Linked DNA regions of Oryctolagus cuniculus. The main gene of each other region encodes a partner of the protein of the gene in region 2 in a complex. Links are inferred from orthologs where the notes say so. Each region holds a gene or a part of one and is shown on either strand. Other genes may lie near its edges.

The links. The genes of interacting proteins can lie anywhere in the genome.
Region 1: the proteins of FBLIM1 (region 2) and FLNC are in contact, whole or in part, in an NMR structure (PDB 2K9U), measured with the Homo sapiens proteins. The link is inferred for Oryctolagus cuniculus from reciprocal best matches to the Homo sapiens genes FBLIM1 and FLNC. Residues at the interface, in NP_001337080.1 of Homo sapiens: Arg8, Val9, Ala10, Ser11, Ser12, Val13, Phe14, Ile15, Thr16, Leu17, Pro19; in NP_001449.3 of Homo sapiens: Thr2339, Ala2344, Gly2345, Gly2346, Leu2347, Ser2348, Ile2349, Ala2350, Val2351, Glu2352, Gly2353, Pro2354, Ser2355, Lys2356, Ile2359, Phe2361, Asp2380, Glu2382, Phe2387.

What each region holds. Positions count from the first base shown.
Region 1 is NC_091434.1:165,025,292-165,030,472, forward strand, and holds the start of FLNC (filamin-C), read left to right. Parts: upstream 1-2,003; 5' UTR 2,004-2,260; coding exon 2,261-2,615; intron 2,616-5,181.
Region 2 is NC_091438.1:153,864,953-153,869,391, reverse strand, and holds part of FBLIM1 (filamin-binding LIM protein 1), read left to right. Parts: intron 1-2,572; 5' UTR 2,573-2,669; intron 2,670-2,900; 5' UTR 2,901-2,911; coding exon 2,912-3,107; intron 3,108-4,439. UniProt on the Homo sapiens protein: Serves as an anchoring site for cell-ECM adhesion proteins and filamin-containing actin filaments. Is implicated in cell shape modulation (spreading) and motility.

The DNA of each region.
Region 1 (5,181 bases), on a different chromosome or scaffold from region 2:
AACCATGCCTTGGCACTTCGCACCTCACACCGCAGGGCCATTCACTAGCTCCCCTGGGGCCCACGGGCGAGCTGGGACTTCGCTCTCCTCTGGCTGGCTTCGCGCCGAATGCTCCCACCTTAGCAGTGGCCAAGGACAGACTGGGGGCCTCGGATCATGCCCACAAGGTAGCGCCAGGAGCCAGTAGGGCTTGTAAAGGGACCATCAGCTACGAGGGACCCCACTCCCCACCCCCCTGCCTTCTTCCAGCAGCTCAGAGAAGAATCCAGCCCTGCTCAGACCCCTACCTCAGTCTCCATATCAGGGCTTCAGAGACAACTCTGCTGGACTCCGAGCCCCCGGCACCTCGGGCCGCCAGCCAGGAGTCTGCCTCTCCACACACAGGGGCAGGGGTGGGGCCTCTCTCCACTGGAGAGCTCAGCCTCCCAGCTGGATACACTGGTGCCTCTTGGGTGATCTTGGCCATGGGACGGAGATGGCTGGGGTGGGGGTGGGGAGCAAGAGGAGGGTTCTGGAGCTGGGAGCAAGGGGTTGCCAGAGGGAGAGTAGAATTCCTGAGTACCTCGTCACTGGCAGCGACAGAACATGAGCTGCAGGGCCCAAGCTATTTATACCTCGCCTGTCACTATCAGGGCCCCCAGAGCCCCCCTCCCTCCCAGCCACGCACAGCAGGCCCCTTTCCCGTTTCTGGTCCCTTCTCTCCTCCTCCCCCTCCCTCCCTAAGGGCCAGGCAATCTCATTACACAAGAAGGGAAAGAGAAGGAGACAACTCTGTCGCCCTAAGCACTGCTGCCCCCTCCCCAGTTCCTTCTCCACGATGAGCACCGTCCTCATTCTGCCCTTGGGAGAGGGTCCCCCCAAAGATGCCCTCTGTCCGCTCCCTTCTCACCAAGCCTAAGGTAGAATGGATCATCTCCAAGGGCCCAGGACCTTCCCAACCCCCAGTTATCACACAGCTAGAGGCATGGCCTCCCATCCAGCTAAGCCTGCAGAGTCTAGAAGGCTCGGAGGGTGAGGTGGCAAGGCCCGCGTCGGGACATGTACGCTACCCAGCTGTACAATACACGTGCCCTTTATAATAGTAGATTCCATAGCTCTTTCTCCTCATCCCAGGCAGCTCCTCTGGCTGTGTGCCTCAGTTTCCCTACTGGGGCCATTGGCCAAGCCTCCCACAGCCCTTGGCTGAGCCCAGTCCTGCCTGGGCACAGGGCCGGCCTCCCTGGGGCTGTCCCTGACCGGGCTTGGGCCCTGGCTCCGCCCACCCAGTCACAGTTCCTGGGGCTCTCCCAGCTTCGGCCTGTCTGGGCAGCCCACCCTTTCCCTGGGAGGACCTGCACGTGGCCCAGGGGGCTCCCTGGCACCACAGGGGCCGTGCCCCCCTCCTTTCTCCTCACCTCGGTTGAGTCAGACTTGGGGGAGAGGGGGCACACTCGGTGTGACTCACTGGGTGTCTTTCCCGGAGCTGGGCTTCACTCTGAGGCCATAAGTCCAAACGGGCTGGTGACAGGGACACTGAGTCAGGGGCAGAACCTGGATCCTCCCCCAGGACCCTGGGTTTGGGCTCCAAAAACTGCTTTTCTACTAGTTAACTGGAGCCACGGGGGTGGCGGGCAGGGGGAGGCACGCCCCCAAGCCTGCAGCTCTGCTTCCTCTCAGGCCAGCTCTGCACAAGCACCCACACTTCCCTTCCCAGTCCACAGGTGGACAATACCCCGGGCCAGCAGCCAGGACTCCCAGGCCCTGTCAACAGCCCTGCCACCAACGGGTCCAGAAAATTCTGTCAACGCCATCACATCAGTGCGCTCAGCCCTCACCCCTGGCCTCAGTTTCCCCTCGTACCTCTTCAGTCCCCGCGGGGGCCTTTCAGGCCCGACCTACGGTGCGGCCCCGGGGGGCGTCGCGCGCGGGTGGGGCGCTGTCGCCCCGCCCCCGCCCGCCCGTCTGTCAGTCCGCCCGCGCGGCCCGGGCCGAGGGGCGGCGCGCGGGGGAGGGGCGCGCGGGGGCGGGGCCGCGGGGCGCGCGCGGCCCCCACCGCGGCCCGGGCGGCATTCCTGGGAGGCCGGCGCTCTGACGTGGAGCGGGGGCCGCGGGCTTCTTAAACCCCCCGGCCCGGCCCGGCCCGCACTTCCCCAGCACCGCTCCGCCCCCGGAGGGAGAGAGCTAGAGAGAGCGGCCCCGAGCAGCCGAGGAGGCCCGCCGAGAACTTGGAGAGGAGCTTAGCGCCCGACAGCGCCCCGACAGCGCACCCCAGCCAGCCAGCATGATGAACAACAGCAGTTACGCGGATCCCGCCGGCTTCGGCCTGGGCGACGAGGCGGACGAGATGCCGTCCACTGAGAAGGACCTGGCGGAGGACGCGCCGTGGAAAAAGATCCAGCAGAACACGTTCACGCGCTGGTGCAACGAGCACCTCAAGTGCGTGGGCAAGCGGCTGACCGACCTGCAGCGCGACCTCAGCGACGGGCTGCGGCTCATCGCGCTGCTGGAGGTGCTCAGCCAGAAGCGCATGTACCGCAAGTTCCACCCGCGCCCCAATTTCCGCCAGATGAAGCTGGAGAATGTGTCCGTGGCCCTCGAGTTCCTGGAGCGCGAGCACATCAAGCTCGTGTCCATCGGTCAGTGCGGGGGCACAGGCGCAGGGGGAGGGGCTGTCCCGGGGGCCGGGGACGCGGGTGCTGGCCGCCGGGACAGGGCACTGGGGGGCAGCTGGGGGCGGCCCCGACCGGCGGGCACTGCCTCCACAGCGCTCTCGGGGTGTCCCTGGGGGTCCAGACCTCACCTCAGCTGAGTGCACAGCTCGCAAGCGCCCCATGCGCACCCTTGCCCGCTTCCCTTCCCTGGGGGCAGCCCCGCCCACGCAGGAGAGAGCATGGGGCCGGGGCCCGGGGCTGAGCCCTGGGGGCGTCCCTCCTCAACAAAGCAAATGGCTTCCTAGTTTGCCAGGTCCTCCGCACGGGAGGAGCTGGCTCGGGACAGGTCCCCACCACGTCTGGGAGAGCCGCGGGAGGCCCCCCGCACGCCAGGGCTCAGCGCTCGGTGCTCAGCGGCTGGGCTCCGGCCTCAGAAACCTAAAAAGGCCTGGAGCGAGGGCTGGGAGCCTTAACCCCTGCCTGCCCTCCCCGGACTGCAGCCTGCCGGGGAGGGGGCTCCTGCCCGTCCAGCCCACCCCGAAGCCAGGGATTGGCTGCCCTGGCGGTCGGCTGCCGGGCGGAGGGGAGGGCCCGTGGAAGGGAGGAAGTCACTGAGTGTAACCAGATTTGGAAGGTGTGTCGGTGGGGGTGGGGGTGGGGGTGGGGAGACGCTCTAGGCCGGGAAGCCCCACAGCCCGGCGTGGGTTCTGAGTGGCCAGCGGCCGCCCGTCTCCTCGGCCCGGCATGGGCTGGGCAGGCCCTGCTCCTGTGACCCTCTCTTAAGAGCCCTGCTGTGATTGACAGCAAAGGGCACAGCCCAGGGCTCCAGGAGGGGAGTTTCACGTGGGGCCAGGTGGCCCCCCCCCACAGGCTGCCCCAAAGATTTCTCCAGAGAAGTGGGCGTCTGGCCACCCCCACTCTCCCAGCAGGGCCATCTCTGGGCCTCCGGAATTAGCAGCTGAGGTCAGCTCGGGGCCTTTCGCCTTGTGTCCAGTCCCCTCCCTAGGCCTTACCTCGTCCTGTCCCAATACTGCCCCCCCCCCAGCCGCCTGCACTGGCCTGGAAATAGCCCTGTCTCCGTGACACAGCAGATGTCTCTGAGCTTTCCCGAAGGACAAGCCCGAGGGCAGGGGTGGGGGTGGGGCTGAGGGCAGCGACAGGAGGGGCAGGCACCCCCTGCACGCTAGCATCCAAAGGCTGGACTGAGGATCCCAGGTGGGGTCTCTGGGGGACAGCCAGAGGCCTCCTCCAAGCCAAGCGTTTTAGCAAACTGCTCCGCCTTCCCTCCCTGCCGACTGCGGGGGCTGCAGCCCCTCTCTGGGCCTCATCCTACCCCCCCCCACCCCCCTGCACCTCTCCCCTCCCCCACGGCGGAGCCTCCAGCCCCCTTGGCTCAGCAGTAGAGGGGCCAGCCCGGAGATGAGGGGGAAGAAGCCAGTGCTGCTTTGGGGGTGGGAGGGAGGCTCCCTGGGCTCCTCCAGGGAGAGGAAGGGGAGCCGGCCCCATTTGGGCCAAGTGGCTGGCTCCCTGGTGAGATAAGCTGTCAGCAGTTCAGCCGCTGGCGCTGGCCCGGGCCAGGCTGCAGGGAGGGGCAGTGGCCAACTGCCCACAGGAGGGGTGTGTGGCGGCCTGTAACTCCCCCTGCCCCAATGAGTGGTGGGAAGGGGCTGCCTCCCCCTACCCCCTGCCTTGTCTCAGGACTGATATCAAGCCTCTGGACACCTGGGAGGGGGTCAAAAAGACCCCCCCCCTTCTCTTGGCCTGGGAAGGGCAGTCAGGCGAGGGAGCAGCTGGAAACTGCGAGGTCCACCTGTAGGACTGGGTTAAAAGAGCCGCGTGCCCTTCTTTCCCCCCAAGCCCTGTGCAGGCCCCCTCTGCCCCCTCAGCCCCTCCGAACAAAGAGGCCTAGCAGCAGCTCTGTCCCGCAGCTGTTCCGCAGTTGCTATTCCTCCTCCTGGAGCCAACAGCCGAGGGAGGGGCCGGAGGGGGCAGCAGCTGTCCCAGCACCTCCCTCAGCCCAGCCTCCTCCCCTCTACTTGAAGCCTGGGGTGGCCTCTGGGGCTGGCTCTCCGGCCCCTCCCACTCCTTTGGGGGTATCCCCAGGCCAGCGGAGAAATGGTGGCTTGAGGTTTATCACCAGGGAAGAAGCTGGGGTTGAGCTCCTCTCGCCTGCCTGGCCTCTGAAGGGAAGGAGGAGGAGGAGGAGGAAGGTCACTGCTCCCAGAGTGGAGCTCTGGGCCCTGGCCTGCCGGCCAGTCTGCTGCCCCAAAGCCAGGACCACTTGCTGTCTGGCCCTGGGCCAGTTGCTGGGGAGCGAGCCCTGTCTCCAGCAAATATGAATGACACCCCCGAACCACCGACCCCGGCAGCCTCACGGGCTCCCTCCCAGGGTTCCGAGAAGCCCTTCTGGGTGCGTGAGCCTCAGCTGGGGAGGCTGTCAGGGGCGGGCCCCAGGTCACAGCTCGTGTGAAAGTGCCGTGGACCTGTGTGTGTGTGTGTGCGTGTGTGACAGAGAGCGAAAGCAGCAAGCACCGGGAGGCCGGCCGTGAGT
Region 2 (4,439 bases):
AGGGCCCCTGTGAGAGGCTGGGGCAGCCCCCGGATTCCCGCTCCCTGCTCCCAGTCACTTTGGGAGCCCAGTCCTGGCCCCCAGGGGCGCCTGCTGTCCCTCTCGGGGTGAGGGCTACATAACCAGCTGTCCTGCACTCCCCTTCCCACACCAGCCACCCCCTGGCACTTTGTGCAGGAATCCGGGCCCAGAGAGGGTAGGTGCCCTGCTCTGGCCGCCCAGCAGGAAAGAGGTGGGTTCCCGGGTGAAGGTTGCTCTGTGCCTCCTCGGCTTCCCTGGGGTAGGAGGGAGTTGGGGGGAACCCCCACCCCAAGGCAGCCAGGTCTCTGTGGGAGGGCGTGGGTTGGGGTGCAGCCCCCAGCCGCTCACCTCCAGGGGGGTTTAATTGCAGACAGACTGCTTTGTCAAGGTATTAAAGTGCAGAACTTAGAGGTGCCGGGGCTCTTCTAGAGGGGGGCCAAGGAATGGGGAAGGAGGGGACAGTGGGGTGGGAGCACCTCCCCCTTCCTGGTCAGACACCCCCGGCCCTGGGTGCGGGCTGCAGCTGGCCGCCTGGTGCTCCGGTGCGGGCTGGGTCCCAGCCTCTTCCTTCCTCTCGACAGGAAGTGAGTCTCCCTCCCTTTGTTCCCACTTTCTCCGCTTACCCGACTGCATCTGGGATTTGCCCTCCAAGGGAGGGGGGCAGAGGGTCCCCGGGGCGGGGCATGGCGGCTGCCCCGGGGCAAGGGGAGCCGGGCACCCCAGCAGGGCTGGACTCTGATTCCCTGTGAAATCCCCACCCAGCCCCTTCCCCTGGGGCCTGAGGTCCCTGCTGGGAGGATTGGGGGCGGAGGCTGCCCAGCTGTGGCCATCTGGTGTCAGCCCTGGACGTTTCCGAAAAACTGGATAGATCCAGCTTCCCGGAGGAGTGAGGCAGGGGTCAGGGCAGGCTGGGGAGGGGCCGGGGGTGGGGGCGTCCTGAGGTTTGCAGCTTCTGGGGGCGCGGTCCCGGCTGCCTCAGGTGTGAGGACAGCCCTGGACCTGCCGGCTGGGGACGCTCCCCGAGAGTTCTGTGTCTGCCCCGGGCGGGGCGGGGCCGGGCGGGGGGGGCGGGGTCTCTACTCTGGGGGTAGGGGGAGGCTCACGCAGCGTTTGTGAGGGGGGCCATCGTGGGCTGAGGCCAGGATGGGGGAGCCCTGGGGCCCACACAGCCTTGGGCTCAGTGCCTGGCCCGCAGCCATCTCGGCGGGTGCCCGCCATGCGGTTTATCTCTTCAATTCTCGCACACACCCTGAACGTCACTCGTGAAAGTGGGCTTTTGAACTGCTCACCGAGTGGCGGGTGGCGGCCAGGGAGGCTGCCTCCCCACGCACCGGTTTCTAACCAGGAGGCTGAGCGTTTTAACTCAGTGTAGCAGCCAGTTGAGGAGGGATTCCGAGTGCGTGTGATTTGTCTCCGGCAGTCCTAGAGGGAGCCCGCGGTGGCCGGTGCACTTGGAGATGGGGAGGGGACTCTGTGCACCCTGTGCACGGTCACCCCAGCTCCCAGGGCACCACTGGGTCTCTCCGGGGGCCCCCAGCCCAGCTCAACCCAGCCAGCCCCATTTCTGGGGGTCCGATGGCTGTCTCCTTGTCTGCCCTCTGCCTCGTATGCTTGTGGCCTGGGCCTGACAGTCCTGGCGAGGTGGCCCGGGCAGCACAACAGCAGAGAGGGAGAGATAAGGGGCAATTTTTAGCCTCGTGCCCAGGGAGGATGCCTGTGCCCTGCCCCCCCCCCCCCCCGCCCCGTGGACACACACGTTGTCTGCCGAGTGGCCTTAGAGATGGAAAACGGCTTCCACCCGGCACCTGTCCCCATATCTATACCTGGATGGCTACCCCCAGCCACACTCAGGGTGCAGTCGAGTATCTGCAGGGGGTCGGATGGGTGATTGCGAGCCAGCTAGTCCTGTGACGGGGCTGTCACCTCCCTGTGGAAGCAGACAGGGCCTCAGGGAGAGGGCCAGGAATCAGGGAAGGCTTCCTGGAGGAGGTGATGCTCGCTCGAGCAGAATTTCACCCTGTGGGTGGCAGCGGAGGGAGACCAGGTGGGAGGAGCAGGTCAGAAGGGAAGCCGTGGAGGGTGGATGAGTGATCCAGGGTGGACCCAAAGAGGGAGAATTAGGACTTTCTCCTGAGGAGGTGGGAGCCATGGAAGGCTTTTGAGCAGTGGAAAAACAGACTTATGCTCCAGAAAGATCAAGGTCAGGAGGTGAGATTGGAGACCGCTGAGCCCCCTCCTGGGCTCTCCCCAACACTGCCCGGGCCTGAAGCACACCTCGCTTTTGGAGAGGCAGAGAAATGGATGCTGGCCTGCCGGGTGGGCCGAGAGGGCAGAACAGAGCCAGATGGCGCCGGGGGCCCAGGCCCTGAGTTCTAATCCCGGCTCTGCCACTGTGAGCCCTTGGACAAGTGGCTTTACCCCTGAGGTCTCCCAGGTTCCCCTTGGTGGGATGGGAGTAGCAGGTGCCCACCTCTCACGGCAGGAGGGCGGTGTGGGCACAGAGGGGGTGTGGGCATGACGTGCTCACCGTCCTGTCCTCTCCCTCCCGCAGCAGAGCTGGCCTGAGCCTCAGGGACTTCTTCCCCCGAGAGAATCCGGATCCCTTCCTGGGAGGTGACTGATCCAGGCAGGAAGCTTACTCATCCGAGGTGAGCCCGCCAGGGCTGGGGGAGGGGCAGTCAGCAGCCTGTGGCAGGGTCACCTGGTGGGCCCCTGCCCTCCCCCACAGGGCCTCGCCCACCCCCTCCGGCATGTGGGCGGGGCGGGGCTGTTCTGTCTTGCCTTGGGGAGGTGTGCAGGGCGGGGCTGTTTCCTTTTGCATCCTGGGGGAGAGCAAGCCTGCACCACCGGGACCTTGCACTCTGTCCTCGCCCTGCCAGGACCTGAAGCCATGGCCTCAAAGCCCGAGAAGAGGGTCGCCTCCTCCATCTTTATCACCCTGGCACCCCCACGCCGCCACGTGGCCGTGGCCGAGGAAGTGAGGCAGGCGGCTTGTGAGGCCCGGCGTGGCCGCCCCTGGGAGACCCCTGGGAAGGCCCCCGCTGGGAGGCCCAGCCCCTTCAGCCCCGCTCAGCTCTCCAACGGAGGTAAGAGGCAGGCGGGAGGCGGGGAGGGAAGGGCAGCCCCGGGAGTCACTCACTCTTTCAGTCATTCATTCATTCATCTGAGTGCCAGACAGACCCCAGAACCACCCGCCCGGTGTGCCTTCCAGCTCCCGCATTCGCAGCCGTTGAACCTCCTGCGCCTCCGTGTCCCGATCTGTCAGAGCGTGGCTGGGAGCGAGTGTGTGTGTGAGTGGCCCGCGCCTGTCGTGCGGGGAGTGCCAGCTGTGCTCCAGCTGTTCTCGCTGTCCCGGGAGTGGAGAAGGGAGACAAGGCTTTGCGCCCGTGTGGAGGGAGCAGGGTTAATACAGAGGCAGTGTGGGCATTTGGCACGGCCAGTCGGGACCCCTGCGTCTCAGATCCAGCGTTTGGTTCAAGCCCCAGCTGCTCTGCTTCCCACCAGCTTCCTGCTGATGCGCACCCTGGGAGACAGCCGATGACAGGCCAAGTACCTGGGTCCCTGCCGCCCATGTGGGAGACCAGGCTGGAGCTCTGGGTTCCTGGCTTCAGGCTGACTCAGGCCAAGCTGTTGCAGGCATTTGGGGAGTGAACCAATGGGTGGCCAAATCTCTCTCCACTGGTCTGTCTTTCTGCCTTTCAAATAAAATGAAAAGAGAGGGAAGAGAACTGTGAACATCTGATACATGACATCAGCAGACACAGGTGCTATCGGGGTGAAACGTGGTAGAGAGGAGTGACTTTTTATGGGGTAGGCAGGGTGGCTTCCCTGAGGAGGTGACATTCCAGCTGAGACCCGTGTCCCTGGGGTCTGGGGTGGGCTGGCCCTGTGGCCTTGGTCACAGAGCCCTCCTTCCCTGTCACTCCCTGGGAAGTCTCAGCTGTTGGCTTGGCGGGCCTGAGCCCTGGGGCAAGGCACGGCTCTGCCTCGGTGTGAGGCTGACCCCAGGAAGGCAGCTGAGCCCCAGTGTCCCCGGGCACCTGGACAGATGTCCTTCCGTCCCAGAGTAAGGCTGGAACAGTCCTCCTGTCTGTCTGTCACCGCGGAAGCCACCTGGATCCAACAGGAAATGCCGGCCAGGCCCAGAGCGAGGGCCAGCAAGCGCAGAGGGGACTCGAGGGACAGAAGCTCTGGGCCCATCTTTCCTTCCTCACCTCCCACCTCAAGGGCCCCGGCCCTCCAGCACTTCTGGAGGGGAACAGGACCGGGCCGGCCAGGATGCCAGGATGAGTGATCTGATAGGAAAAAATGGGCCCCATCTCGGAGGCTGAGGGAGGCTAGGAAATGTGGCTGAGATGCCAACAGGTGCAGCCCCTCGGAGGCTTTCCTGGGCCCTTGGAATTACCGTGTGTGATGAA